Linked DNA regions of Saccharomyces cerevisiae S288C. The gene in region 1 interacts genetically with each later gene. Each region holds a gene or a part of one and is shown on either strand. Other genes may lie near its edges. The genes, in order: UCC1, RAM1, SNT1 and TPN1.

Evidence for each region.
Region 2: mutations in UCC1 (region 1) and RAM1 together harm fitness more than expected from each alone (negative genetic interaction), as found in Saccharomyces cerevisiae (one large-scale study listed by BioGRID).
Region 3: mutations in UCC1 (region 1) and SNT1 together harm fitness more than expected from each alone (negative genetic interaction), as found in Saccharomyces cerevisiae (3 studies listed by BioGRID).
Region 4: mutations in UCC1 (region 1) and TPN1 together harm fitness more than expected from each alone (negative genetic interaction), as found in Saccharomyces cerevisiae (one large-scale study listed by BioGRID).

What each region holds. Positions count from the first base shown.
Region 1 is NC_001144.5:583,541-590,563, forward strand, and holds UCC1 (Ucc1p), read left to right. Parts: upstream 1-2,923; coding exon 2,924-4,033; downstream 4,034-7,023. Other genes in the region: IFH1 (Ifh1p), read right to left, coding at 1-1,950; YLR225C (uncharacterized protein), read right to left, coding at 4,155-5,378; BUR2 (Bur2p), read left to right, coding at 5,814-7,001; ADY4 (Ady4p), read right to left, coding at 7,022-7,023. UniProt on the Saccharomyces cerevisiae protein: Substrate recognition component of the SKP1-CUL1-F-box protein E3 ubiquitin-protein ligase complex SCF(UCC1) which mediates the ubiquitination and subsequent proteasomal degradation of target proteins.
Region 2 is NC_001136.10:294,336-301,709, reverse strand, and holds RAM1 (protein farnesyltransferase), read left to right. Parts: upstream 1-5,380; coding exon 5,381-6,676; downstream 6,677-7,374. Other genes in the region: YDL086W (carboxymethylenebutenolidase), read right to left, coding at 1-297; LUC7 (Luc7p), read left to right, coding at 711-1,496; FG-nucleoporin ASM4, read left to right, coding at 1,707-3,293; NUR1 (Nur1p), read right to left, coding at 3,436-4,890; clathrin-mediated endocytosis regulator UBX3, read left to right, coding at 6,951-7,374. UniProt on the Saccharomyces cerevisiae protein: Catalyzes the transfer of a farnesyl moiety from farnesyl diphosphate to a cysteine at the fourth position from the C-terminus of several proteins having the C-terminal sequence Cys-aliphatic-aliphatic-X where X is Ser, Ala, Met, Cys, or Gln.
Region 3 is NC_001135.5:181,980-191,853, forward strand, and holds SNT1 (Snt1p), read left to right. Parts: upstream 1-4,509; coding exon 4,510-8,190; downstream 8,191-9,874. Other genes in the region: BPH1 (Bph1p), read left to right, coding at 1-4,044; fatty acid elongase ELO2, read left to right, coding at 8,613-9,656; exosome non-catalytic core subunit RRP43, read right to left, coding at 9,855-9,874. UniProt on the Saccharomyces cerevisiae protein: Part of the Set3C complex, which is required to repress early/middle sporulation genes during meiosis.
Region 4 is NC_001139.9:150,537-158,238, reverse strand, and holds TPN1 (Tpn1p), read left to right. Parts: upstream 1-5,462; coding exon 5,463-7,202; downstream 7,203-7,702. Other genes in the region: GTS1 (Gts1p), read right to left, coding at 1-333; MND1 (Mnd1p), read left to right, coding at 954-956, 1,040-1,696; cystathionine beta-lyase STR3, read left to right, coding at 2,227-3,624; YGL185C (putative hydroxyacid dehydrogenase), read left to right, coding at 3,933-5,072. UniProt on the Saccharomyces cerevisiae protein: Thiamine-regulated, high affinity import carrier of pyridoxine, pyridoxal and pyridoxamine.

The DNA.
Region 1 (7,023 bases):
TATCAAAGAGGAAGATCCATCGCTGTCGTAATGAAAGTAAAAAGAGTCTGGATCTAAATCATCGATGTCTATGAACACATTTGTCACGCTGGAATCATCGTCGTCGTCTTCGTAATCGTCGTCCAGTTCTGTGCCAATGTCTAAGCTATCTGAATCTAGTGCCCTCAATTCTTCATCCGTGTCAGCATCGTGGGACGTTTCAGATTCACTGCATTCATCATCTGAAGGCATATGGGCAACATCCAACAAAATGTTATCATATTCATCGTCAGAAGAATCATATTTCCCGGAATTCAGGACCGTACTATGAGTGGATGGTTCCAGATCATCATTGGATTTTATCAAATTCGAGCCTTTATTCTTATGTTCAATATGACTTTTGCCCGATTTATGCCTGCCTTTCTTGCTCTTATGGCCACTATTTTCATCATCTGATTGAAAAAAAACATTGAAAATATACTCATCATTGTCCACATTGGAGGTTGTTCTCGTACTAGGTTTTTGCGTCTTTTTATAGAGCTTTCGTCTTTGTTTCCTTTCTTCCTGTTCCCGTTTTTTGGCCTCTTTCTTTTTTAGTTTAGATAGTTTTTCATCATTTAGCATTAACGGTAAAGATGTACTCAAGGATAGCTTTGGCTCTGAACCATCGCCATAATAATAAAGATTTGCAAATTTAGGATCTTCATAAAACGGCATATCAAAATCAGACATTATTTCATCTTCTTCGTCATCTTCTTCATCATATCCGTTTTCTTGATTGTATTCATTTTGCAAAAATTTATTTTCAGCATCTTCTACAGGATCAGACCCTTCTTCGTGTATACTACCATCGAATGAGAGTTCGTCGTCATTTTGTAGCTCAGAAACAATGTTTTGTTCTTCTTCTTCCAATATGGGAAGATCGTCTTCCCCCGTTTCAAGATCTGTACCAATTTCTCCATGAGAATCTTCATTGTTAATCACGTCAAAGTACGCATCCTGGTCAATATCATATTCAGATTCATCTGACTCTGAAATATTGGGAAATCGTAACTCATCGTTGTTACCTAACATCACCTTAGAATCCAGTTTATCTTCTTCATTACCATTGTTCTCTTTGTTTTTTAAATCCAAGACTTCTTCACCTATATCCTCGTTATAGCCTTCATTACCATTACCAAAACTAATGCCGTCGTCCTCTTTTTTGAATTTAAACGATAGCGCCTGTTGTGTAGTAGTAGTGCCTGAACCGTTTACTTCTTTTTTGTTTGATTCTTGTTGTTTTTGTTGCTCTTCTTTCTCTTTTTCTTTTTCTTCTTTCTGCTCTTCTTCATTTTCTTTCTTAGGGGATAGTTTAACTGATTTATTTTTGTTACTGTTCTCACGAGAGGAATAGAGTGTATTGCTATTTGTATTCATGGCAGATAAAGCTTTCATGGCTCTTTTCTTTCTTTGGGCCGTCAGTTTGACAAAATCTATATTCTCGTCATCAGAACTTGTTTCGCTATCACTATCACTATCACTTCCGTCATCATCATCGTCGTCGTCGTCTTCGTCATCATCTTCTTCTTCTTCTTCACTCTCTTCTTCTTCATTTTCACTCTCTTCGCCATCTGTTACAGCTTGGTAATCGGATGACTCTGTGCCCTCGTCGTCATTGTCTATTTGCCTTTGTATAAGTTTACTTTTTTTTCCTTGGGAATTATTTGAAATGTTCTTTGCTTTTCTTTTAATTTTATGTGGGTTTGTACTTTTGTTTTTATCAGAATCAGATACGTCACTCAAGGATGACTCAGAAGAGTATATAAGGCTAAATCTTCTTGGCCTCGTTGTACTCAGTGTGGGTGGTGATTGCCTGGACTTTGTATCGGATTCGCCCTTTTTTATGAGCCTTTTAATATTTGCTGGCAGTTTACCAGAATGTGTACTATGATTGATCGTACTTTTTCGAGGACTTTTTTTGCCTGCCATTTCGTTCTGTTTCCAGTTTGCCGGTTGTTTTTTCCTTATTTGTTTATTTGCTTCCTTGTTGAATTTCCTTCAATTTCAACAAGCTTGAAAATGAATTTCGTAGAATGAATATTACTATGTTTGAAATGGTTATTGCTTATGATGCTCACCGAAGTTAAAAAAAATATTATAGGTTTGTCCTATGTTAGAATTGTGGAAAGGGAGGAATGTAATAAATAAGCAGTAATTAAATATAGCCTTTTGAAGAGTTCCTCCTTTTAATTTCTTGTAGCAAGTGTTTCGAATGTATTCAAATATTACCAATGATTATACAAATACTTACAGCAAGTCAATTAAAGAGCCGTAAAAGCTAAACGTCAAAACGTGTAAAGCACCTATTATCTAGTCTCTTTTCCCTAGTTGTACTTTAAATCAATTTAGTGATGAGATGAAAAAAAAAAAAAAAAAAAAAAGAATTCCAACGAAAAAGAAACGACGGGCAGGGCAACCTTTAGAGATTTCAATCCGTATAAAGAGATGTAGTAGGCAGTACGGGTAACATCGTCACAATTCATAATGGAACTATCTAGCTTTTGCTTGATTGCAAAGTTCTACACCCGTTGATACTTCAAACATCTTTGCAATACGTAGGTAGGGGTCGCGTACTAGCAGCCTCCTAGTTAAGTGTATCTTTCAATCGCATTACGGAACAACTAGGCATCCCGAACCCCACACGGAAAAATCGGAACAATAACTGAAAATTTCCTTTTTCTTTTTTTTGCTCTTCAAAGTCTCTGCCCCTCTATTGCGTACTCGATTGATTTTTTTATCAAAGGCCATCTCAGACAAGTAGATCTACATTGGAGTTTCTCATAATATTATCACTATCGGAAGGTAGCATAACCTTTAATAGAGTTTCCGCTGTTTGCTTGGCTCGTTTTTTTGTTTGTACTATGCCTATTGGCGCAAAGAAGACAGAGTGTGCAAACAAGAGATGAATCAGAGCGATAGCAGCTTGATGGATTTACCACTGGAGATACATTTATCATTACTAGAGTACGTGCCTAATGAACTTCGTGCTGTCAATAAATACTTCTACGTTTTGCATAACCACAGCTATAAGGAGAAGAGTTTGGCGTGGATAGCTGAGGACAACTATATATGGGCCGTTGTCAAACATTCATTATGTTTATATGTCAAGAGTTTGGACCCACTTCGACAGCATGCCAGAGAAATCATTCAAGAAACGAAGGAACCAGGTTTTAATGTGCCACTGTGCATGACTAAATACATCGCAGATTCTTGGTATATTGTATACAATGCGCTGCAATATCCTGGAAAGATAATTAATATGGGATGGGACAAATATACCAAAAGTCAAGATTCAAATGGTTCTGATTCTACCAGTAACTTTAATAGTCGGCCCAAGGAAAGAACTCTTATGCAGTCGTTGACAGCTTTACCTGTTAACTTTTGGTCCAGGAGGAAGGACGAGCCTACACCGGTAAACGTTTGGTTTTATGTAAAAAATGCGCACGTTGCCAGATACATACCGAAAATTATTACGGAAATAGGCATATGCAACTATGGGCCGAAGCAGATCGTGGCAAGTGCAGGATATATCAACGAATTGATAACATCTGAAGGAATATACTGTGTTAACCTAGGCCACCTTCCCAGGCTATACGATGAGCAAATTTTTGAAGGCACTGGAACGACACATCTTCCCCTGGAACTGAAAGCTATCGACAGGACAGATTCAGATGTTTGTATCAATGGTGATTTAGTTCTACTCGGTTATGACTTTATTCCATATCAGATATCGAAGCCGTGGTTACTCTTTAGAATCGAACCCGTAAATAGCATTGAAGCAATCTTCAACTATAGTGAATGTTCTTTTTCATACCAGTTTGCATGGAGTTTGGCCTGCTTACAATCTGAAGAGAAAATTTCATTTCCTAGAGACACGATAATTGGGCACGGTTTACCTTACAAGCCATCCAAATTGATAAGAATTTTCGTCTACAAGCATCCGGAACAAAAGCAAGATCTTGGTCAAGAAATAGCATTGCCCAACTGGAATACCCCTTATCTTCGAAGATGAAAAAAAAATTTATCAATTAGTCTATAATATATGTGTATATACGTCTATGCACCTACCTACTTATAAATGGATATAATATTCTTGCAATGATGAAAATATGTATAGTCAAATTTCATTTTTTTCAATTGATAAATGTACTTTCAATGATGGAAACTCCTTCATCGTCATCGAATTTAGACTTCTGGCAGAATTGGTAAATGAATGGCTTCATGTTTGCCAGATTTTCAGCAATAGACCTAATGAAAGCGGGCAGCTCACTCATTATATCGTACCTATTGACTAATCTTAAATTAGATTCTTCAAAACCACGCGGAAATGAAATGGATGTAGGATATTTCCAACCATTTTGCTTATCCTCTTTTGTAGATGGAAATTTAACAGCATGATCATTTACACTTGACCCGACCTCCAAAATTTTGTCCTTATCACTAACCGCCCATATAGTCACTGTAGTGCTGCCATATTCTTTTGTTGTGGTGAATTCAATACACATCATCGAACGCTTCTCACCATTGAAACAAAGAAAATTCCATTTACTAGCCGCCTTATTGGGTATTAGCCCCTGGACAGCATCCAGATACAACATAGGCGTGTCCTTCAAGTCCAGCTTCACAGGTTTATCGTTTTTCTTGTATGAGATGGTACCATTGCAAAAACCTCTAGGAACAAAAACATGTCTTATCATTTTTCTGGACGTACTAGAAGAGTCTCTTTTTGCTAACTCTTCCAAGCTGATGCTCTTGTCAAGGTAATAATTGGAACCGTCCGGGTTTATTATGAATCCTTCTTGTAAATTTACGGTAATGTCAACCTTCAAATCTTTTAGTAAACAGCTTGTACTTCCCTTCGGAATATCTATCTTAATTAATAATTGAGCAAATCCACTGGAGGAAGAATTTTCCAAAGGTACGAAGTGAAACGTAACATTGTCCGATTCAACTTTTAACGTATCAAAATCTTTGATATTATCAATTTTAAAGCTTTCCCATATATCAATGTCTTCTTCAGAGTTTTCCTCACTGCTGGCTTTAAATATTTTGAAATTTAACTGAAAACCTTTGTATATACCGCCCATAACACTGGAATATAATAGTTGAATTAATCCACATTTGCCGTTGGTGAGATCCGTAAAATACAGAGTTTGTGTCTCTATTCTTGTTTCCGTTGGATTTCTTACTGCTTTTAATAAACTATGTGACTTGAACTTTTTGTGATTTGACGTCCTGCAAAACCATTCTAGTTTCGATGTATCCTGAAATTTAGTATAATTAGCATGATCCTTCTCGGATAAAACTTCCTTAACGGGGGCAAATTTCGTCTTCTCCTTTTTGATCGCAACCGCCATTTTTTCTTTGCTCTATGATTTTTATGTTAATTAAACTGTTCGTTGCCCTAAAATTTTGAAAATTTCTCGAATATTTAGAGAGAATCCGTCACTATTTTAGTATCTATCTTGTCTATTTATATATAAAATCTCATTCCCCTGTTATGGTTTTTGCCAAGCCCTATCCCAAAAAACCAAATGATACATGATAAACCTATTTATCCTCTTTAACAGACCTATCGTTTAAAGCTTTTTTATTGCAAACCCTATTCATTATGGCTTTTTGACCTAGGTCTCATTGTGACTTCTATTTTTCACTGTTCAGTAAAAAAAGAAAAGTGATTAAAAAGTATCACTATTTCTGTTAGAAAGCAAGTAGCTATTTTGATTGGTAATTATATACACATATTGAAGGAGGCCGTAGTATTTTCGTTTAAAATATATTACAGTAAGATAATGTCTGCTACATCTTCAAGTGGTGACGTGAAAAAATTTCAAGCTGTACCAAAACCAACGAGCAATGCATCACCACCACCAGCATCGAGTGGGTTTAACGCAAGGACCCTATGGCCGGATTTGATAGAAACACCAGAAAACCAGTGGGTTTTTGAGTGCAAAGATATTATTGAAAAGATAGGCACTAATGGACCGATAGCAGTGGAAATAAAAAAAAATATGGAAAAATGCTTAATGTACTTTTACACACTTAAAAAAAAATTAAATCTTTTTGATCACACCTATACGGCATCATGCATTCTATTTTACAGGTATTGGTTCATATATGGAATACCTACAGCCATAACTGAATGTATTCATATATCACAGGGAATTCTGGTCACCGCTTGCAAAACAATGGAGAATAATAGGCCTATAGAGGCCTATATTAAGGCGACTTGTGAGTTTTTGATGCAAAATATACCGTCTTTAAAAAGTCGAACAAATATTGATAAACTTAAATGGGAATTTAGAGATAAGTTAGTGACGAATGAAAAAAAAATACTATGTTTATTTGGCTTTGACTTAAATATCAGTAATCCAAAAGAATTGATTGAAGAAGTGTTCAGTGGCTATTATAGATTCAACAGGGATCACAATCTGCCAGAAAACTTTAAAAAAGCTTTTCCAAAAATTCTTCAAGAATCAAGAAATTTTATGGTCCAAGCTGTCACCCAGCCAGTTTCTTTATTGTGCGACGGTTATACGTTCATTGTACTATCTCTCATATACTGTGGTTTAGAGTATAAAAAGCTTGTAGACAAAGATTTCAGATATCCGAAAAACTTCTTCAAGGATAGATTCCCTATCGAAGTAACGCCGGAAAATTTTGCCAATATCTTTACCGATTACAAGTTACTGGAAGAGAATTTTTTCAACTTAAAAAGTAATAAAGGTGCTAAATTACAAATTGATTCAAGCATGATTGATTCGGTGATTGACGAAAGTGGCGATGTGGAAAATGAAGTTTCAGAAATCTCTGATCCGTTTAACTACGAGTTGATTAAATCCGGTGAGGTGAAGGAAGAGTTTTTGAATCATATTGAAACAAGGGTTAAAGATTTACTAGATAAGGCTAAACAAGAAAGTATGAAGAGAAAGGCTAAAGATCCTATAAGAACCCCAGATGCCAAAAAACCTAAAATATAAAAATAGAGTACAAGTTATGTTT
Region 2 (7,374 bases), on another chromosome or scaffold:
TAACGGCTTCTTGATCTTGTACTCGTTACCAATATCGGTACCCTGCACGTCATAGGGCAACGCTTCAGGGCCCATAAAGTTGTGGTATATGGCAGGTGCCACCACAACGTAACCTTCAGACGCAATTCTTTGACCAAAACGACGAACCGGACCCGTCACTTGGTAAATTTCACTGTACAGAATCACCCCAGGAAACTTAGCTTGTGGATAGCCTGCAATCTTAGGAGAATATACGTATATACGCAGAGTGGTGCCGTATGATGTCTGCACATCATGAAAGGTCTCAGTAATCAACATTGTTTGCTTTATCTACTACCACGAGTTTATTACGGCGTCATTTTCAGTCTGACCCTTCTTTTATATAGTTTCTCCTAGTGAGGTTTTTCCGATAAAATTTCTTCCTGATCTTCACAAAGCATCCAGCAAAGTAGGAAAAAAGCTGAAAACCCGACGAAGGGTACTTGTTGAAAGCCATTGAGGTATTGATGGTTGGTGGTAGTATGCTATCTGAAGATAGGCCACATGATTTAGGTAAAGGAGCTGGCCATCGCTAACTGACTAGTCGTATTCTTCCACATCATGGCAACTTCCTTAATGTATTACCCGAATAACCGCCGAAGCCTCAGGCATTAGAGAAGAAAGAAAAGAACAAAAAGTTATACTACAAAAGGCTCTACACTCCCAGCAGAAAGCTGCCAACTACCGTCAGAATGTCAACTATGTCAACGCCTGCCGCAGAACAACGCAAACTCGTCGAACAGCTGATGGGCAGGGACTTCAGTTTCCGCCACAACAGGTATTCGCATCAAAAAAGAGACCTCGGACTACACGATCCCAAGATCTGCAAGTCATACCTTGTTGGCGAGTGCCCCTACGACCTGTTTCAGGGCACCAAGCAGAGCCTGGGAAAATGCCCGCAGATGCATCTTACCAAGCATAAAATTCAGTACGAGAGAGAGGTCAAGCAGGGCAAAACGTTTCCCGAATTCGAAAGAGAATATCTGGCCATTCTATCTCGGTTTGTTAATGAGTGTAATGGCCAGATATCCGTAGCACTACAAAATCTAAAACACACCGCTGAGGAACGAATGAAGATTCAGCAGGTTACCGAAGAACTAGATGTCTTGGACGTGCGGATAGGCCTAATGGGACAAGAGATTGATTCTTTAATTCGTGCAGATGAAGTCAGTATGGGTATGCTACAGTCAGTCAAATTACAAGAACTGATTAGTAAAAGGAAAGAAGTTGCAAAACGTGTACGAAACATTACAGAAAACGTGGGCCAGAGCGCCCAGCAAAAGTTACAGGTTTGCGAGGTGTGTGGGGCATACCTATCGCGTTTAGATACAGACAGAAGGCTTGCTGACCACTTCTTGGGGAAGATTCATCTGGGATATGTCAAGATGAGAGAGGATTATGATCGGCTAATGAAGAATAACCGGACAACTAACGCCAGCAAGACAGCTACTACACTACCCGGAAGACGCTTTGTGTAGGGCCATACATAAAAAAATGATGCTAGAAAAATTTTGTTCGAAGGAGAGTACTTATGAAAGAAGAAAGGTTTGTGAATATCACACACATACCTCTGCATAGTTTATTTCCCGATAAGGTAGACATATCGTTTCCCTATCTATTTAAGTTTTTTATTCGCTCTCTTTTTTTTTTTTTCTCTGTAACCTGAAAACAAGGAACGGCAAATTAAAATGTTTGGAATACGTTCAGGCAATAATAACGGTGGATTTACTAACCTCACGTCGCAAGCACCACAGACAACCCAGATGTTTCAATCGCAATCACAGTTGCAGCCACAACCGCAACCGCAACCACAACAACAGCAGCAACACTTGCAATTCAATGGATCATCCGATGCAAGTTCTTTACGATTTGGAAACTCACTTTCCAATACTGTAAACGCCAATAACTATAGTAGTAATATCGGTAACAATAGCATCAACAACAACAACATTAAAAACGGCACAAATAACATAAGCCAACATGGCCAAGGGAATAATCCTAGCTGGGTGAATAATCCTAAAAAGAGATTCACTCCTCATACGGTGATAAGAAGGAAGACAACAAAGCAAAATTCTTCTTCTGACATCAACCAGAATGATGATTCATCTTCTATGAACGCTACTATGAGAAATTTCAGTAAGCAAAATCAAGATTCCAAGCATAATGAAAGAAATAAGTCTGCGGCAAATAATGACATCAATTCTCTGTTGTCAAATTTTAACGATATTCCACCCTCCGTTACTTTACAGGATTGGCAACGCGAGGATGAATTCGGTTCTATTCCATCATTAACAACTCAGTTTGTTACCGACAAATACACGGCGAAGAAAACAAATAGGTCAGCTTATGATTCCAAAAATACTCCAAATGTTTTTGATAAAGACTCTTATGTTAGAATAGCAAACATTGAACAGAACCATTTAGATAATAATTACAACACCGCCGAAACAAACAATAAAGTCCATGAAACATCTTCCAAGTCTTCTAGTTTGAGCGCAATTATCGTATTTGGCTATCCTGAATCAATTTCCAATGAATTGATTGAACACTTCTCCCATTTCGGTCATATTATGGAAGACTTTCAAGTATTGCGATTGGGTCGCGGGATTAACCCCAACACCTTCAGAATATTCCATAATCATGATACAGGCTGTGATGAAAACGATTCTACTGTTAATAAATCTATTACTTTAAAAGGCAGAAATAATGAGTCGAATAACAAAAAATATCCAATATTTACTGGTGAAAGTTGGGTCAAACTCACTTATAATTCTCCATCTTCTGCTTTGAGAGCACTGCAGGAAAATGGAACCATATTTCGCGGTTCTTTGATTGGTTGCATCCCATATTCAAAAAATGCGGTGGAGCAATTAGCTGGCTGCAAAATTGATAATGTCGACGACATTGGAGAATTCAACGTTTCTATGTATCAAAATTCCTCCACATCGTCGACATCTAATACACCATCCCCACCAAACGTAATAATAACTGATGGCACTCTTCTGAGGGAAGACGATAATACTCCTGCCGGTCATGCTGGTAATCCAACAAATATTTCAAGTCCAATAGTAGCAAATTCTCCGAATAAGCGGCTGGATGTAATAGATGGCAAATTGCCATTCATGCAAAATGCAGGACCGAATTCGAATATTCCTAATCTGTTGCGAAACCTAGAATCGAAAATGCGTCAGCAAGAAGCGAAATACAGAAATAATGAACCTGCTGGTTTTACGCACAAACTGAGTAATTGGTTATTTGGTTGGAATGACCTATAACAGAAATCGTCCAGCTAATTATTCATGAACATTTACAATACTTCATACATTTATTATTTTGATAACTTTTCAAACAGCATTGTTTTACTTTTGTTTATTGATTTTTACGTAACTGTATATACTTAGACATAATTAAGAAACGTTATCTTTTGTGATAGTTCTTCTTTTTCTTTGGAGAGCGAAGAATGGAATTAATATCATTCTTATTCAATACATTGAACTCTGAGCCTTCAAACCTTTTCTGTCGTGCGCTTAAAGGCGTTTTTCTCAATGGGCTCAGGGATTTCGATGGTCTATTTTGGTCTTGATTCGGCAGGTAAGCTCCGCCCTTCTCTAAATTTTCATTTGACGATGATTGAGCCAAATTGTTATCCAAAACTTTATCCCTATAATATGGGGACATTCTAGGAGAATAATGAAAACCAATGGGATGACTTTGATGGTCAGATACTTGAGAAATGCCTCCATAATCCTTTATTCTGGTTTCACGGGATCCTGGCACACTTTCTGTCATTTTCGGTAATGCCTCAAATTCCCTTTTTTCATAATTATAAACCTCTCTGATTTCTTCGCCACATAGGGAGTGAGTGGTGAATATTCTCGGTGTTTTAGATCTAGTACCCATTGCAGATGATAGAGTATCTATATTGCTGCATTGGTTAATTCGTGCCATTATATGCTTGTCCTCATATTCTTGCAAAGCTGCACTTGATAAAATCAAGTCGTCGTCCACGCTTCTTTGAAATCTCTTAGTTATGATATAATCCAGAATATATTGATGGAATACTATAGCAATTGCTGAAGTAAACGAAACATCAGAAAAGCTTAAAAAAACAATTGCCGTTGGTGAAAAAGACACAAAAAGATTAATCATGAAGTTAGTGGGGATCCATTTTCTTAACTGAAAAAATATCTCATCTTCATTTTGATTAACATGAGGACCGTCATCACGAGATCCTCTGAAAAAATGCTTCAACATAGACCACAAGGACTGCTTATAAATATCTTCATAGTATTCTTTGCTTAGATCCTTCAAGTTGTGTTTAGTGAGGTTTGGGGAGTTGAACTCTTTTTTCAAATGGAAGAGATTGTAAGTCTTAAAGTATCCAAACATGAATTTACAGCTTACGTACAGGTTCAGGGACAGCAGTATGAAAATAGTAAACCTGAAAAGATTATTCAAAAACCTTAAGGTAACAAAATACCAAGATTGAAATGCATAAAATTGATTATTGTTTTGAAAGCTGGATGATATCTCCCATAGATAATCAAACTCTTTTAATTTATTGGATTTAGAAAGATCGAAAGCGCCAGACTTGACGTTTAGTTTGTAATAGTTGGGCTTGATCAAATTGTCCTGCAAGAGTCTTATGATAAAAAAAAGTATTGTTAAAAAATTCCCTAATGGCTTAGCTAGACTTTTAGCATAAGCATCCCAGTTGATCATTTCTAACTTTTCATTTATTACCAACTGCAAGTCTAAAGGAGAAGTAAGTAGCTGATACCACCTCTTCATCCATGCAGATTTTGATTCTCTTTCCTCACCAACTACTTCCGAGTCGTCATATGCTTCATTTATCAAATCATTTGAACCCATTTTACTGCCGAAGGTAAATGTAAAGCTCTCTACTGCACAACAAAGTTTTTTAGGTTGTTCGTTTCACTAACTTCTAAATATTGTCAATCAAACCAGACTTTAAGGAAACTACCACTTGTCCCAACGGCCTCACCCCTTTTAATACGGTGTTAACTTCTTCCTTTATATATTGCAGGGCTATTTTTCCCTCCTTTCGCTATTGAAAGAGATCACTATTCCCGTGCTCTGTTCTGATTAAGTAGGAGGACAAAAACACTTGTAACTTAATCCACCTATTCTTATTATTTCTGGCTAACGTTAGAGGTCTTGAAGCGAAACTGTTTAACATTGTAACTTATTAATCTTTTCGTATAAGCTGTTGCCTGATTAGGAAAGCTTGAAACTGAAACACGCGAAAGTGGCTAGGATAAACCAAGCAAGGGTCCATATCATCGCCGTTCTTATGCAGAAACAACTGCAGTGCTTGTAAAGCTATAGGCAATCAAAGCGTATGCGACAGAGAGTAGGAAGGTCCATAGCTAGGGCTAAATTTATAAATACTGCCTTATTAGGAAGAAAGAGACCAGTTATGGAAAGAGTCGTCGATATAGCGCATGTAGATTCAAGTAAAGCAATCCAACCATTGATGAAGGAACTAGAAACCGACACTACAGAAGCACGATACAAAGTACTACAAAGTGTATTAGAGATATACGATGATGAAAAGAATATAGAACCTGCTCTCACGAAAGAGTTTCACAAAATGTACTTGGATGTCGCTTTTGAGATATCGTTACCTCCACAAATGACAGCACTAGATGCTTCACAACCGTGGATGCTATATTGGATTGCTAACTCATTGAAGGTAATGGACAGAGACTGGCTTTCAGATGACACCAAAAGAAAAATTGTAGATAAGCTCTTTACTATTAGTCCTTCAGGAGGACCCTTTGGTGGAGGTCCTGGCCAATTATCTCATTTGGCCAGCACTTATGCTGCAATTAATGCTCTCTCCCTTTGCGATAACATAGATGGATGCTGGGACAGAATTGATCGAAAAGGAATTTACCAATGGCTGATATCGTTGAAAGAGCCTAATGGAGGATTCAAGACCTGTTTAGAAGTCGGAGAAGTGGATACAAGAGGTATATACTGTGCCTTGAGCATAGCAACCTTATTAAATATTCTTACAGAAGAGCTTACAGAAGGTGTGTTAAACTATTTGAAAAATTGTCAAAATTATGAAGGTGGATTCGGCAGTTGTCCTCACGTAGATGAGGCACACGGAGGCTATACTTTCTGTGCTACAGCTAGTCTAGCAATTTTAAGGTCCATGGACCAAATAAATGTTGAAAAGCTTTTAGAATGGTCTAGTGCTCGTCAATTGCAAGAAGAACGAGGATTTTGCGGAAGGAGCAACAAACTTGTTGACGGTTGCTATAGTTTTTGGGTTGGAGGTTCGGCTGCCATTCTTGAAGCTTTTGGATATGGCCAATGCTTCAACAAACATGCTCTTCGGGACTACATATTGTACTGTTGCCAAGAAAAAGAGCAACCTGGTTTGAGAGATAAACCAGGGGCCCACTCAGACTTTTACCATACAAATTATTGCCTATTAGGACTGGCTGTTGCGGAAAGTTCATACAGTTGCACTCCTAATGATTCTCCACATAATATTAAGTGTACTCCAGACCGCCTAATTGGATCATCGAAACTTACTGATGTCAACCCTGTCTATGGTTTACCAATAGAAAATGTAAGAAAAATTATCCACTACTTTAAATCCAATTTATCTTCTCCAAGTTAACCACATACTATTATATATATGTATTCAATCTCCTTAGCGGTCAGTCTCTTTCCAATTTCTTTCTCTTTACGTTATCATTGTCCTTTATTCGACACTTCGGCGACCGCTTTTAAAACGATAATAACAAAGCGAAATCTTATTGTAACACATCCTTGCTTAATTACATACGAAGCAAAAAGTGAGAGTAAGTTCAAAAACAGCGGGCAATCGTACTCCCAAATTTTGTTGTACCTCATCAATCGGCTTGACTGCGATTTAAACATACCCTTTAAACATGGATATATTTAGGCATACTTTTGGAAATAATGATGATTCCTTTATTCGAATCCCAGGTGCTTTTAGAGAAGAACCACCTGCTGATTTGAATGGAAGGACAGAAGATCAAAACAGCAATACAAATGAACCCACACAGAGCCGGGATGGACGCTTAAAATCAATACTCCATTTTTTATTTCAAGCTCCCCTAATAGTTCTTTATTATTTATTGAATTTCATTGTCCGAAGTTCACGTCTTTTAAAACCTCTATTAAGACTTCACGGATTCTACCAGAGGAAGCACAACCGTTTACTAGACCACAGTTCCCAATTACACCGTCTTTTAGAAAATCTAGAAAACGAAGCTCAAGCTGTAACGTGTTCTGAAGGTAACGGGAATAATGATGATGGCAGCAATACTGACAGTACGAGCAACAATGAGA
Region 3 (9,874 bases), on another chromosome or scaffold:
ATTATTTATTTGGCTGTCAACTTCATTGAGTGGCATGTGATTAATTCTAATGCCAGTGATTCTTCTTCTGTATTGGACCTGAACAACCATATATTAAGATTCGTCGAAGATCTGAAATCGCTGAGCGCTGTTCCGATTAATGAATCTGTATTTGATCCTAAAAAAAGTTATGTGATGGTTTCATTATTAGATCTCTCGATAGCTTTGAATGAATCGGAGGACATCTCAAAGTTCAAGAGCTCTTCAAAAGTGATTTCAGAGCTCATTAAAGGTAATATAATGTGTGCTCTTACGAAATATGCCGCTTATGATTTCGAAGTCTATATGAGCACATTTTTTTGTCACAGTACAGAATACAAACTGGTTTATCCAAAAACTGTAATGAACAATTCCAGTTACTTAGAGCTATCATTTATAGTGACACTCCTACCCGAAATACTTAATGACCTGGTAGATAGCAATAACAATTTGAACCTGATGATGTTGAAGCATCCATACACGATGTCAAATCTCCTTTATTTTCTTCGCAAATTTCGACCTGATACGTCACAGATAGTTATGCCTAAAGATTTTTATTTCTCAAGTTATACATGTCTCTTGCATTGTGTTATTCAGATTGATAAATCATCATTTTACCATTTCAAAAACGTTTCTAAGTCGCAACTGTTACAGGACTTCAAAATCTGCATAATGAACTTAATATATTCCAATACTCTAAAGCAGATAATCTGGGAGAAAGAAGAATACGAGATGTTTTCTGAGTCACTGATGGCGCATCAGGAAGTTTTATTTGCACATGGAGCATGTGATAATGAGACCGTTGGCTTATTGTTAATATTTTTTGCCAACAGATTACGTGATTGTGGATACAACAAAGCAGTCTTCAATTGTATGAAAGTGATCATTAAGAACAAGGAAAGGAAACTAAAGGAGGTGGCGTGTTTTTTTGACCCAGCGAATAAAAGTGAAGTACTCGAAGGTTTAAGTAATATCCTCTCATGCAATAACTCTGAAACAATGAACCTCATAACTGAACAATACCCATTTTTTTTCAACAATACACAACAGGTACGGTTCATAAACATTGTCACCAATATCTTGTTTAAGAACAACAATTTTTCTCCAATAAGCGTTAGACAGATCAAAAACCAAGTTTACGAATGGAAAAATGCAAGATCAGAATACGTCACCCAAAACAATAAAAAGTGCCTTATTTTATTTAGAAAAGACAACACATCCTTAGATTTTAAAATCAAAAAGTCCATATCAAGATACACTTACAACCTCAAAACGGATAGAGAAGAAAATGCAGTTTTCTATCGAAATAATTTAAATCTTTTGATTTTTCATCTGAAACATACACTGGAGATACAATCAAATCCAAATTCGTCCTGCAAGTGGTCATCGGACTTTGCAGAAGATTTTGATGGGATGAAACGGAGGCTTTTGCCTGCTTGGGAACCAAAATATGAACCACTCATTAACGAGGAAGATGCTAATCAAGATACTATAACAGGTGGTAACAGACAAAGGAGAGAAAGTGGAAGCATTTTATCCTACGAATTTATCGAACATATGGAGACTCTTGAGTCGGAGCCAGTTGGAGATTTGAATGAGAATAGAAAAATTCTTAGACTTTTGAAGGATAACGATTCCATTGCAACTATTTGGAATTGCAGTTTGATTATTGGATTAGAAATTAAGGAGGGGATTTTAATTCATGGCAGTAATTACCTTTACTTTGTAAGTGATTACTATTTTAGTTTAGAGGATAAAAAGATTCTAAAATTATCAGAAGTATCGCAAGAATCACGGGATATGACGGTTAGCTTAATTAACGGCCCTGATGTTAAAAGGGTATCAACTTTCCTAAAGCACGAAGTCTTTGTTTGGAAACTTCTCGATATCACTTTCGTTACCAAACGACCCTTTCTACTTCGGGATGTCGCCATCGAATTATTGTTCAAAGAGAGAGTTAGCGCTTTTTTTAGTTTTTACAACAAAAGAGTGAGAGATGACGTTTTACGGGTACTGAATAAGATCCCGAAGCACCTTCCAGCAGATCCAATTTTTTCAAGCGTTTTACAAGAAATAAACGACCGAGGAAATAGTATAGTGGCAAGAAATGGAATAGGAAAGGCAAGCATTGCTTCTAAATTCACTAGCGTCTTCTCAGCGAACAACAGCCTAATAGATGGATTTGAGATCAGCAAAAAATGGGTTAGGGGAGAGATTTCTAATTTTTATTACCTGTTGAGTATCAACATCCTAGCGGGAAGGTCATTCAACGATTTGACCCAATATCCAGTGTTTCCGTGGGTTATTGCAGATTACGAAAGTAACGTACTCGATTTAGAGAATCCTAAAACTTACCGGGACCTATCGAAACCTATGGGCGCTCAAAGTGAGAAAAGGAAATTACAGTTTATAGAGCGTTATGAAGCTTTGGCTTCCCTGGAAAATGCTGATTCCGCACCATTTCATTATGGCACGCATTATTCCTCAGCTATGATAGTATCTTCATATCTGATAAGGCTGAAGCCCTTTGTCGAATCCTTTTTGTTATTGCAAGGCGGAAGTTTTGGCCCTGCAGATCGTTTATTTAGTTCGCTTGAAAGGGCCTGGAGCTCTGCTTCTTCTGAAAATACAACGGATGTCAGGGAATTGACACCTGAATTTTTTTTTCTACCTGAATTTTTGATCAACGTTAATAGTTATGACTTTGGTACAGACCAAAGCGGTAAAAAAGTTGACGACGTCGTACTTCCACCCTGGGCAAATGGTGACCCAAAGGTTTTCATTCAAAAGAATAGAGAAGCTTTAGAAAGTCCTTATGTATCAGCACATTTACATGAATGGATTGATTTGATATTTGGTTACAAACAAAAGGGGGACATTGCTGTGAAATCTGTTAACGTATTCAACAGATTGAGTTACCCAGGCGCTGTAAATCTAGATAACATTGACGATGAAAATGAGCGCAGAGCTATCACAGGCATTATTCACAACTTTGGTCAAACGCCTTTACAAATATTTCAGGAACCTCATCCGGAAAAAATAGCCTGCAATGTTCAACAGCTAACAACAGAGGTATGGCGTAAGGTTCCAATGAAGCCAATATTTGAGAAGACAATCTTTAATTTGAATGAAAAGAACAGGTCCGTCGATTATGTTATACACGATCCTAGTTACTTCGATTCATTATACTGGAGGGGCTTCGCTTTCCCAAACTTGTTTTTCAGAACGGAAGAATCGTTAGTGTCATTGAGAATTGTGCATAAAAATTGGTTAAAAATTGGACTAGATATTTTTAAAAAGACGCATATGGCTCAGATTACATCGTTTGCGTACTGGAAGTTGGGCGAATTCATAACTGGCGATAAAAATGGGCTGATAAAAGTTTGGAAATATCGTAAAGATAAGCATTCGGTTTCAGGTAACCTTGAGAACAAAAAAACAATGTTTGGGCACCTATGCGAGCTAAAGGAGATGCGCTGTTATCACGACTACAATACGCTTTTAACCTTAGACATCAGCGGCTTAGTATATGTCTGGGACATGATTAATTTCGAACTAGTAAGGCAAATAACAAATGATGCGCAAAAGGTCGCAATATCTCAACATGCAGGGAGCATTATGGTATTGACTAAGAATAACGCCATTTCGATCTTCAATCTAAATGGACAAATATATACATCAAAGAAATTCGAACCAGCTAAAATTGTAAGCTCAATTGATTTTTTTGACTTCACTAAGTTAGACGCAGGTTACAGAAAGCATATCTATTGGAAAGAGATGGAAATACTACTAGTGGGCTTTGAAGATGGAACTATAGAAATTTACGAGCTCTTTTTGAATTTTCATAATGAATGGGCGATAAAGCTACTGAAGCAGCTCTGTACCGAAAAAGGGAAAGCCATAACTAGCATTAAGGGACAGGGGAAGACATACCTGTCCCAGAAAAGACGCAAGGATACAGCAGAGCCTCATGAGATAGAAGTGATTGCGGGAACATTAGATGGCAGATTAGCTATTTGGTACTAGGCATCACATCGTAACGCCTTTCTTTAAATGATTCAATTTTTGTAGTTTATATCTTTACTTTTGAAACTGATTTCTCATCCCATCTAGTATTGTAATTGCGTACGTATCCAATATCATTACCAACGCCGGGTATTTTTTTCTAGTATTTCTTCTCCATTTCGCCTATGGAAAACGGCAAAAGGGTAAAAGAAAAAAACAAACGATTAATTCTTCTTTGAATTATGTAAAAATCAAAACGCAACCGCAGATTTAATAGAGACCAGAAATTCGGATTACTATTGACTTTGTGCACCACCTTCAAATTTACTCATTGTTTAAGACAGGCAGTGGGAAAGAAGCCGTCATATTGCTCGAATCCTTAACAAGCAAAATATACAACCACTAAATTATTCCGAAAGGGCCTGCTTAATAATTTGCCTACTAACTTGTGCATAGAACAGCAAACAGAAACAAAGCGTAAGAAACATGGGGTATCCGCCACCTACACGAAGGCTTGGAGATAAGAAAAGGTACCATTATTCCAATAATCCTAACCGAAGGCATCCTTCCGCTGTTTATTCCAAGAATAGCTTTCCAAAATCAAGCAATAATGGATTTGTATCTTCTCCTACTGCCGATAATTCAACAAATCCGTCTGTAACTCCCAGTACTGCATCTGTACCTCTTCCTACAGCGGCACCTGGAAGCACGTTTGGTATCGAAGCACCCAGGCCATCTCGATATGATCCGAGCTCAGTCAGTAGGCCTTCGTCATCATCTTATTCGTCAACAAGAAAAATTGGAAGCCGTTATAACCCAGATGTGGAAAGATCCTCTTCAACCACTAGTTCAACTCCGGAAAGTATGAATACGAGCACCATAACACACACCAATACGGATATCGGAAACTCACGCTATTCTCGAAAAACCATGAGCAGATATAATCCTCAATCTACTAGTTCTACAAACGTTACCCACTTTCCCTCGGCATTATCAAACGCTCCACCGTTTTATGTTGCCAACGGGAGTTCTCGGAGACCTCGATCAATGGATGATTATAGTCCTGATGTAACGAACAAGCTCGAAACAAATAATGTTTCATCTGTTAATAATAACAGCCCTCATTCTTATTACTCTAGGAGCAACAAATGGAGATCCATTGGAACGCCTTCCAGACCACCATTTGATAATCATGTCGGCAATATGACGACCACCAGCAATACTAACTCGATCCATCAAAGGGAACCTTTTTGGAAAGCAAATAGTACTACTATTTTAAAATCAACTCATTCACAGTCATCGCCTTCCCTTCATACTAAAAAATTTCACGATGCGAATAAATTGGACAAACCAGAGGCTTCAGTTAAAGTTGAAACACCCAGTAAAGATGAGACAAAAGCCATATCGTACCATGATAACAATTTTCCACCAAGAAAATCAGTTTCTAAACCTAATGCACCTTTAGAACCCGATAATATCAAGGTTGGCGAAGAAGATGCATTGGGGAAAAAAGAAGTACATAAAAGTGGGCGTGAGATAGCAAAGGAACATCCTACTCCTGTAAAAATGAAAGAGCATGATGAACTAGAAGCTCGCGCTAAAAAAGTAAGTAAAATCAATATTGATGGAAAGCAGGACGAAATTTGGACGACGGCAAAAACAGTGGCCAGTGCAGTCGAAGTTTCCAAAGAAAGTCAAAAGGAACTAACACGCTCTGTTGAAAGGAAGGAAAGCCCAGAAATTAGAGATTATGAAAGAGCATACGATCCGAAAGCCCTGAAAACAGACGTAACAAAGTTGACAGTAGACAATGATAATAAAAGTTACGAAGAACCTCTTGAAAAAGTGGAGGGGTGTATTTTCCCATTACCAAAAGCAGAAACGAGATTATGGGAATTGAAAAACCAGAAAAGAAACAAAATAATAAGTGAACAAAAGTACTTACTGAAAAAGGCAATTAGGAATTTCTCAGAGTATCCTTTTTACGCACAGAACAAACTTATACATCAGCAGGCTACCGGACTTATCTTGACGAAAATTATATCAAAGATAAAAAAGGAAGAACATTTGAAAAAAATAAATTTAAAACATGATTATTTCGATCTCCAGAAGAAGTATGAAAAAGAATGCGAAATTTTGACTAAACTGAGTGAAAATTTAAGGAAGGAAGAAATCGAAAATAAACGTAAAGAGCACGAACTAATGGAGCAGAAAAGACGTGAAGAAGGTATCGAAACAGAAAAGGAAAAAAGCTTACGGCATCCATCCTCGTCTTCCTCATCTCGTCGCAGAAATAGGGCTGACTTCGTTGATGATGCGGAAATGGAAAATGTATTGCTACAAATCGACCCAAATTATAAACATTATCAGGCTGCTGCAACAATTCCTCCGCTAATTTTAGATCCAATCCGCAAACACTCTTACAAATTCTGTGATGTAAATAACTTGGTTACAGACAAAAAGCTTTGGGCGTCTAGAATATTGAAAGACGCCTCTGACAACTTTACTGACCATGAGCACTCTTTATTTTTGGAGGGTTATTTAATTCATCCTAAAAAATTTGGTAAAATTTCTCACTACATGGGCGGCTTAAGAAGTCCTGAAGAGTGTGTCCTACATTATTATAGAACAAAGAAAACTGTGAATTATAAACAACTTCTTATCGATAAGAACAAGAAAAGAAAAATGTCAGCCGCTGCCAAGCGCCGCAAGAGGAAGGAAAGAAGTAATGACGAGGAAGTCGAAGTTGATGAGAGTAAAGAAGAGTCAACGAACACGATAGAGAAGGAAGAAAAAAGTGAGAACAATGCCGAGGAAAATGTTCAGCCGGTTCTAGTTCAAGGTTCTGAAGTGAAAGGTGATCCATTAGGTACACCGGAAAAAGTTGAAAATATGATTGAACAGAGAGGCGAAGAGTTTGCAGGTGAATTGGAAAATGCTGAGAGGGTAAACGACTTAAAAAGGGCGCATGATGAAGTTGGAGAAGAGAGCAATAAGTCCAGTGTAATAGAAACCAACAATGGGGTACAAATAATGGATCCAAAAGGAGCTGTTCAGAATGGTTATTATCCAGAGGAGACCAAAGAACTTGACTTCAGTTTAGAGAATGCGTTACAGAGAAAGAAACACAAATCTGCACCAGAGCATAAAACAAGTTATTGGAGTGTTCGTGAATCTCAACTCTTTCCAGAATTGTTGAAGGAGTTTGGCTCTCAATGGTCTCTCATATCAGAAAAACTGGGTACCAAATCTACTACAATGGTAAGGAATTACTACCAAAGAAATGCAGCTCGCAATGGATGGAAATTACTGGTTGATGAAACCGACTTAAAGCGAGATGGGACTAGTTCAGAATCTGTACAACAATCTCAAATTTTGATACAACCAGAACGACCAAACATCAATGCCTATAGTAATATTCCTCCTCAACAAAGACCGGCTTTGGGTTATTTTGTTGGACAACCAACTCATGGGCATAATACATCTATTTCATCTATCGATGGCTCTATAAGACCATTTGGGCCTGATTTTCATCGTGATACCTTTTCTAAAATTAGTGCTCCTTTAACCACTTTACCACCACCAAGACTACCATCTATTCAGTTTCCTCGTTCAGAAATGGCAGAACCTACAGTGACAGATTTGCGTAACAGGCCCTTAGACCATATTGACACGTTGGCTGATGCAGCTTCGTCAGTAACAAATAATCAAAACTTCAGTAATGAAAGGAATGCAATTGACATTGGCCGTAAATCGACGACAATCAGCAATCTATTGAATAATTCGGATCGAAGCATGAAATCTTCTTTCCAAAGCGCTTCAAGACACGAAGCACAGCTCGAAGACACTCCCAGCATGAACAATATTGTAGTACAAGAAATAAAACCGAATATTACTACGCCAAGATCGAGTTCTATTTCTGCATTACTAAATCCTGTAAATGGGAATGGGCAATCAAACCCAGATGGAAGGCCGTTGCTGCCATTTCAGCATGCTATTTCTCAAGGCACTCCTACTTTCCCTTTACCGGCCCCTCGCACTAGTCCAATAAGTCGTGCGCCTCCAAAGTTCAATTTTTCGAATGATCCGTTGGCAGCTTTGGCTGCGGTTGCCTCCGCGCCAGATGCAATGAGCAGTTTTTTATCTAAAAAGGAAAATAATAATTGAACAAACGGCTGAGACGGGCAATACATATGCTCTACTTCTTTTCCATCCAATGGTTGGTGAAACTCTCGAGCATACATTACCTTACGTGTGTTAGTGTACTATATTATATATATATATATGTATATATATAAAGGGAGGAGTTTTTAATTATAATTGTAATTTCGTATTTTTTCTGCATTATACAGTTTTTTCCGATTTTAAACGACTTTATTTAAGTGTCGTGTAAATATGTCACATTTTATTTTTGTACGTATTCACATGTCCTGGCGTGCGGCCATTGCTGAAAATCGCAAAACCCACAGAGAAATAAACATCGCGAAAAAGTCAATGAAAAATTGGAAAATATTTTTCATTTCACTATTATCCACAAGCAATTTTGTACAAAGTGAAAAGGTTGAACTAATTATCTTCGTCTAGAAGCCATGAATTCACTCGTTACTCAATATGCTGCTCCGTTGTTCGAGCGTTATCCCCAACTTCATGACTATTTACCAACTTTGGAGCGACCATTTTTTAATATTTCGTTGTGGGAACATTTCGATGATGTCGTCACTCGTGTAACTAACGGTAGATTTGTTCCAAGCGAATTCCAATTCATTGCAGGTGAATTACCATTAAGCACTTTGCCCCCTGTGCTATACGCCATCACTGCCTATTACGTTATTATTTTTGGTGGCAGGTTTTTGTTAAGTAAGTCGAAACCATTTAAATTAAATGGCCTTTTCCAATTGCATAATTTGGTTTTAACTTCACTTTCATTGACGCTTTTATTGCTTATGGTTGAACAATTAGTGCCAATTATTGTTCAGCACGGGTTATACTTCGCTATCTGTAATATTGGTGCTTGGACTCAACCGCTCGTTACATTATATTACATGAATTACATTGTCAAGTTTATTGAATTTATAGACACCTTTTTCTTGGTGCTAAAACATAAAAAATTGACATTTTTGCATACTTATCACCATGGCGCTACTGCCTTATTATGTTACACCCAATTGATGGGCACCACATCTATTTCTTGGGTCCCTATTTCATTGAACCTTGGTGTTCACGTGGTTATGTATTGGTACTATTTCTTGGCTGCCAGAGGCATCAGGGTCTGGTGGAAGGAATGGGTTACCAGATTTCAAATTATCCAATTTGTTTTGGATATCGGTTTCATATATTTTGCTGTCTACCAAAAAGCAGTTCACTTGTATTTCCCAATTTTGCCACATTGTGGTGACTGTGTGGGTTCAACAACTGCCACCTTTGCAGGTTGTGCCATTATTTCTTCATATTTGGTACTATTTATTTCATTTTACATTAACGTTTATAAACGTAAAGGCACCAAAACCAGTAGAGTGGTAAAGCGTGCCCACGGCGGTGTTGCCGCAAAGGTTAATGAGTATGTTAACGTTGACTTGAAAAACGTTCCTACTCCATCTCCATCACCAAAACCTCAACACAGAAGAAAAAGGTAAGTGTAAAATCTTTGAAAGAATTTAAGTATTCAACTTTCGTATATTCGTTTTTTCTTAGTGGATCTATTGTTACTATTATCACTATTATTATATTGTAAAAGACCGGATGGTTTTGTTATATATTACATACACATGTTATCGTTGAAAAAAGTTTTCCGTTTCCTTTCGACAGTCATCAGATAATTTTATCCGAGTCTTTTATATGTTAAATCTTGTTG
Region 4 (7,702 bases), on another chromosome or scaffold:
ATCAAAAGGAAAAGGGACATTTTTAGGATTCCAGAACCGAGCATTCCCCTTATTGCCTCCAAGACTCACTAATTCATCGATATCCTCTCTTGTCCATCTATCCATTGATAGTGATTTAACGTTAGAAAAGGCATCGTCGTCTCTGCTACCGAAAACTTTTCTATGAACAGAGGCACACCTACCACAAAGGAAAACCCCCAAATTAACTGAGCACCAAGTTGGGTAGAAATTACCACATTCACCGCATTTATTGGCATTCTCGGACGAATTAATCAACTCCTTTAATTCTCTGTCAACATGTTTTAAGCTATGGGAAGAACTCCTAAACCTCATTTTTGACTAAGTATAAATAAACTATAATCTGTGATTGACAGAACGCTGCCTCCATCTATATTAATGATTGATCAAGAGAAAATGTTCTTCTTCCACCCTTTTGTGAAGCATTTAGAGATCAACACTAACTTTCTTCAACTTACAATAATTTCCGGGTGCCCCCATTTATCGATTACCCGGATCCGCTTTGCATCATAGTGTGTCGTTGTCGAAACAAAAGCGCCGTATTATTTGGTCAACGTTTAATAAAGTAAAAGCAGCATTTGAGATGCTCTATACAACCTTCTTAATTGCAACCGACATAAAGGTATGTTTTTCTCTTCTTATTATGACAAGGGAAACTTGAAGAAGAATTCGTGTCTTGCCATAATTTCAGCATCATCGTCTCAACCTAAGCCTCTTCTCACGAAGGCACGCTCAAATATCTTTCTGGCTCTAAAAATCTTGAATAACGAACCGAATTTACCATCTTTCCTGCTTTTTTATGCGTCGAAAAAAAGTAAAATAACCGCCCAGATCACGAAATTGCATATAAAAGGCGATCTCCCGTCCCACCGTTATTCTTTGCGATATAGACTAAACGGCGGAAACTTTATGTGTAGTATCATAAACATTCAACAATGGTATGTCTAATAAAACCATCATGGTACACAGGACTGAACACTAACTTATAGACGGGTGCGTGCTACCCTCTTCTTATTATTAGGGGCCAAAGAGACAGACAGTATCACTCCAAGAGAAAAAGAACCGGATTCTGAACTTTTTTCAAGAGACGTACACATTCTACAACATCAAGGAATTAGAGAAAAGCATACCTAAAAAATGCGGAATCTCACCCATGATCGTTAAAGATTTAGTGCAACAAATGATTGATGAAGACGGCGTCATTTCGGTGGAAAAATGTGGTAATATTAACATCTACTGGTGCTTTAAAAATCAGACACTGCAAAAATTGTATGATTCAAGCGAGTTGATAAAAAAAAAGATACAGGAAGTAAAGTGTGATATTGCCACTTATAAACAAGAACTAGACAAAACGCTAGCAACTGGAAGGCGTAAAAAATTTACGGTAGGCCAAAAATCATACAATAGGGAGGCTCTACTGGAAAAGAGAAAAAAAATTCAGGATGAAATTAAGAAAAAGAGTAATAGTCTCCAAAAAATAGAAAGCATTAGATGGGATGCAGCAAAAATACAAGAGAATAAACAACAGATCCGCCTAAAAAAAGTGCATCTGGAGAAAACTACTGATAACATTGAGATTCTCATTGATTATTTATACAAGAAATTCTTTTTGAAGCCAGAACAGATAAGAAAAGAATTTGGAATTCCAGAAGAGTTCAAGGAATTTACGGAGGTTTAACCTTCATGCACTATACACGAAAGAACAAAAGTGTCTTGATTATTACATCTACATTTCCAGGCATAGAGCTTGCAGATTAGCCGCCCATAAATTTGCCACACTGTTTTCCGTGGCGCCACAGTCCGCGTTTGGTTATCCGGCTGACTCATTCTGACTCTTTTTTGGAAAGTGTGGCATGTGCTTCACACAATATAATTCCCGTGAGCACAGCATGCTTCGGGCCGAAGTCTGTTGGAGGCATATGCTCCTACCTTGGAAGACTCATCGCATCTCAAAAGTGTGTAAAGGGGCCTTCTGGCCATATATCCTCTGAGACCTGGTTGAAATGTGGCCAGAAGCAAAGCTGATAAAAACAACTGGCGCATACGTAGCTATATTTTAAATAAATAAATAAATAAATATATATATATATATATATATATATATACATATATATACAGTCATTGCCACACATCCCATAGCTCTGTGTGCTTACAGTTCATTAAAAACAAAAAATATCAAGCAAACAACAAAAGCATAGAAGCAAAAAGATGCCGATCAAGAGATTAGATACAGTTGTGGTAAATACCGGCTCTCAAAATGACCAACATTCAGCCTCCGTGCCACCGGTGTATTTGTCGACTACCTTCAAAGTGGACTTGAATAATGAAGATGCACAGAACTACGATTATTCCAGATCGGGAAACCCGACCAGAAGTGTCCTTCAACACCAGATTGGTAAGCTTTATCGTGTCCCACAGGAAAACGTATTAGCTGTGAGCAGTGGTATGACGGCGCTAGACGTCATCCTGCGTGGGCTCGTCTTACTTAACGGCACTGACAACCATACGCCAACAATAATAGCCGGCGATGATCTTTATGGAGGCACCCAAAGGCTGCTGAATTTTTTCAAGCAACAGAGTCATGCAGTCTCTGTTCATGTGGACACTTCCGATTTTGAAAAGTTCAAAACCGTTTTCCAGTCTTTAGATAAAGTTGATTGTGTTCTTCTAGAGTCTCCGACCAATCCGCTTTGCAAGGTTGTAGATATCCCTAGAATATTACGTTTTGTGAAATGCATATCTCCCGACACTACAGTTGTCGTTGATAATACTATGATGAGTGGACTCAATTGTAATCCTCTTCAACTGAATCCAGGCTGCGATGTCGTATACGAATCTGCTACCAAGTACTTGAATGGTCATCACGATTTGATGGGGGGTGTTATTATCAGCAAAACACCAGAAATAGCCTCGAAGCTTTACTTTGTCATTAATTCTACAGGAGCTGGATTATCCCCAATGGATTCTTGGCTACTTGTGAGGGGCCTAAAAACTCTAGGAGTTAGATTATATCAACAGCAGAGAAATGCTATGATATTGGCTCATTGGCTAGAAAATTCATGCGGATTCAAACCTACCAGAACAAACAAGGCTACGAAAACTAGATTTGTTGGATTACGCTCCAACCCGGATTTCAAGCTGCATAAATCGTTCAATAATGGCCCAGGTGCCGTGTTATCCTTCGAAACGGGGTCCTTCGAACATTCAAAGAGACTGGTCAGTTCCAAAAAACTGAGTATATGGGCTGTGACGGTATCTTTCGGGTGTGTAAATTCGCTTCTATCTATGCCTTGCAAAATGTCCCATGCTTCCATTGATCCCGAATTAAGGAAAGAGAGAGATTTTCCTGAAGATTTGGTTCGTCTTTGCTGCGGTATCGAAAATATAGTAGATTTGAAGAAAGATTTATTAGCGGCGATGGTTGACGCTGATATTATAGAAGTAAGAGAAAATGGCAAATATCTTTTCAACAAATTGAATAAGAACCTAGCTGTGAACACTACCATCGATGACCTGCATAAGCCTTTAAGTATTTACGAAGAATTTTACAATCAAGATCTCATCAGAAAGGACTCAGAATTGAATATTAAGAGTTCGAAATTGTAAGGGAAAATATGCATGTACCTTTTTTTTTTTTTTTTATAAGGTTCAAATCCAAAGATAGTAACTTTAAATAGTCAAGTATATAGACAGAATTTCAAGAACAGTAAGTATATTAAACTTTTACAGCCTTTCGGGCTGTTCCGTAAGCTCTTACTACTACCCTTGGGAAACGCACGCGCGAAGGAGGAAAGTTTGCCTCAATGAACGTGTGTAATGGCGGTCGTAAAAGGAATATAGAAATAGCTGTGCTTTTATAACTTCACTCGACAATGGGTTGACAGCAGATTTAGAAGGAAAAGAGCATACAAAAAATGTGCGATTCTCCTGCAACGACTGGAAAGCCTACTATTCTTTTCATCGCAGATCCGTGCGAAACATCAGCCACACTTAATTCCAAGGCATTCAAAGAGAAGTTCAGGATCTTGCGCTATCAGCTGGACACCAAAGAAGCATTTCTTAACTTTTTAGAAAGGCATGAACAAGACAAAATATGTGCCATTTATGCTGGGTTTCCGGCATTCAAAAAAATCGGTGGGATGACTCGAAGTATCATCGAACACAAGTCATTTCCAAGGAAAAATTTAAAATGTATCGTGCTTTGCTCAAGAGGTTACGACGGATGGGATCTGGATACATTACGCAAGCATGAAATTCGATTATACAACTACCAAGACGATGAAAATGAAAAATTGATAGACGATTTAAAGCTTCATCAAGTCGGTAATGATGTGGCAGATTGTGCCTTGTGGCACATTCTGGAGGGCTTTAGAAAGTTCTCCTATTACCAAAAACTTAGTAGAGAAACTGGAAATACATTAACTGCAAGGGCGAAAGCTGCAGAAAAGAGCGGATTTGCTTTTGGCCATGAACTGGGGAATATGTTTGCTGAATCACCAAGAGGAAAGAAATGCTTAATTCTTGGTTTAGGAAGTATTGGAAAGCAAGTAGCCTACAAGTTGCAATACGGGCTAGGAATGGAAATACATTATTGCAAAAGAAGCGAAGATTGCACAATGAGTCAAAACGAAAGCTGGAAATTTCATTTGCTAGATGAAACAATATATGCAAAACTATACCAGTTTCATGCAATCGTGGTCACATTGCCGGGAACTCCACAAACAGAACATTTAATCAACAGGAAATTTTTGGAACACTGCAATCCAGGCCTAATTTTAGTCAACTTGGGAAGAGGTAAAATTTTGGACTTGCGGGCTGTTTCTGACGCCTTGGTAACGGGACGAATCAACCATCTCGGTTTAGACGTCTTTAATAAAGAACCAGAAATAGATGAAAAAATCAGATCTTCTGATAGACTTACTTCAATTACTCCGCATTTGGGTAGTGCGACAAAGGATGTTTTTGAGCAAAGTTGTGAACTGGCATTGACAAGAATCTTACGGGTAGTGTCTGGGGAAGCCGCAAGCGATGAGCATTTCTCCCGTGTAGTTTGATAGTAAGAGACGTAAGAACCTTATGTTAACATACCTATATATACATATACGTCAACACACCAAGAAAAAAGAGCAGTGCGAGTTTTCGTATGCATTTGACTTCAAAAAGAAGTCAACATTAAGTGCCGTTTTTGTTTCGACAATGGATTGTAGTACAGTGCCCCGTAGGTGTATGACTCGTACTTGCGTGTAAGTAAATTTCGGATTTGTTCGCCGCACCTTATCTCACCTGAAATTTTCTGCGTCAGGCTGCTTTGATGGTGTCTAAGAGAAGGCCATTAAAAAAGAGAACAGATGTTGAGGTTCTCAGTATAAAAATATTACTGTTGAATATTATTAGCTTTATAGAGTATTTATCAAAGAACAGGACTTGAAAAACTTCGATCATAGATGAATAGGGACAACATGGACACAACAAAGCGCAAAGAAGATCATACAAAGCATACTACTGATGTAATAGAATTTTACGAAGAAGGAACCGCAGCTTCTTCTTTAAACATAGCCACAGAAAAGGCCAACTCAAGTCCGTCCATTTTGAGAAGAATTATCAACAGGGCGGCATGGCTTTCTAAGAAAGTGGACGCAATGGGAGTAGAGTCTACCGGTATTCAGAGGATATCTCCCTATGAACGAGGAACATCAAAGAAACAATTTTTGCATGTCGCGGGGCTATGGTTGAGTGCCACAGGTGGTTTGTCTTCCATGTCGTCGTTTTTATTAGGCCCTCTGCTTTTCGGTTTAAGCTTTAGAGAATCCGTAGCCTCCAGTTTAATATCGGTAACAATTGGTTGCTTAATTGCTGCCTATTGCTCGATCATGGGACCGCAGTCCGGTTGCAGACAGATGGTAACAGCTAGATACCTGTTCGGATGGTGGTTTGTTAAATTAGTTGCATTAGCTTCCATTATCGGTGTCATGGGTTGGTCTGTGGTTAATTCCGTGGTTGGGGGTGAAATGTTAGCTGCTATTTCTAATGATAAAGTACCCCTATGGGTAGGGATTGTCATAGTGACCGTATGCTCCTTTTTAGTTGCCATTTTCGGTATCAAACAAGTCATTAAAGTGGAAACTTACTTATCCGTACCCGTCCTGACAGCATTTTTACTACTGTACATTTCATCAAGTGATAAATACAGCTTCGTCAATGCATACGTTTCAAAGGGAAATTTGGACTCTTCCACCCGAAAGGGCAACTGGATGAGTTTTTTTTCATTATGCTATAGTATTACGGCTACTTGGGGGTCTATTACAGCAGACTATTATATATTGTTCCCAGAAGATACACCATATATTCAAATTTTTTGCCTAACGTTTTTTGGAACATTTTTGCCTACCTGTTTCGTCGGAATCTTAGGTCTCTTACTAGCTTCTGTTGCCATGTCGTATAAGCCTTGGTCAGTCGAGTACGATTCCCATGGAATGGGTGGTCTACTTTGGGCAGGTTTTCAGCGTTGGAACGGCTTCGGAAAGTTCTGCGTGGTAGTACTGGTATTCAGTTTGGTATCCAACAACATCATCAATACGTATTCGGCAGCATTCTCCATCCAACTTTCTAGTGTGTTTTGTGCAAAAATCCCTCGCTGGTTCTGGTCTATTGTTTGTACTATAATTTGTTTGGTATGCGCATTAATAGGTCGTAATCATTTTAGTACTATTTTGGGAAATTTCCTACCAATGATAGGCTACTGGATTAGCATGTACTTTATCTTATTATTCGAAGAGAATTTAGTATTCAGAAGGTTTTTCTTACATTTGTACACCAAAGAGTTTCCTACAGTTACAGGAGAAATAAATGGACCGGAACTTGTTGGATCTTCAAAAGAAGTGGAGAAAGATGCAGTTACTAATATCCATTTGTTAAAAAGAAAACATAAGGTGACTAAACATCGTTACAATTGGGACAAATGGGAAGATTATGAGGTTTTAACGCACGGTTATGCAGCAACATTTGCGTTTATTGTAGGAGTTGCTGGTGTGGTAGTTGGTATGGCGCAAGCCTATTGGATTGGCCCAATTGCTGCCAAATTTGGTGAATATGGTGGTGATGTCGCAATGTGGTTAAGTATGGCGTTCTCAGGTGTTGTATACCCTCCTTGTAGATACTTAGAGCTACGTAAATTTGGTCGTTAATTGAAATGACATAAGTATATATTAAAACTACGGTGCAGCGGCAAACTTTAGTTTAGATAATATTGGCAGGTAGATTCATGGTATGTTAAATTACGCTCAGGGAGGATATTTTTTTGTACACATTATCTTTTCACATGAAAATCTAAGCCTGGTGGACAATTGAAATCATCGAGTGATATACTGACACTTTGAACAGTAGCACAAATCGTTTAATTTGCTGTCACGATCTAAGTTTTCTGTCAGCTGACTGTCCACCAATAAGATCAGCGGATTCCAAAGGCGTCCTTCGAAAAAGCGATATCTCCCATCTTGGTTAGTAGCAAATAAAGGGAAGAGAAAATAAGACACACTCAAGGATAAAATACTTCGCTTCTTCCAAGTATAAACACAGGAAAGAAAGATATACGAAGATTAGAATTTTTTTCATACTTTTTACAAAACATTTTTTTGTACTTAGGCACGCTAATTGCGTAAAAATTAGCATAAACAGGAAATAAGAT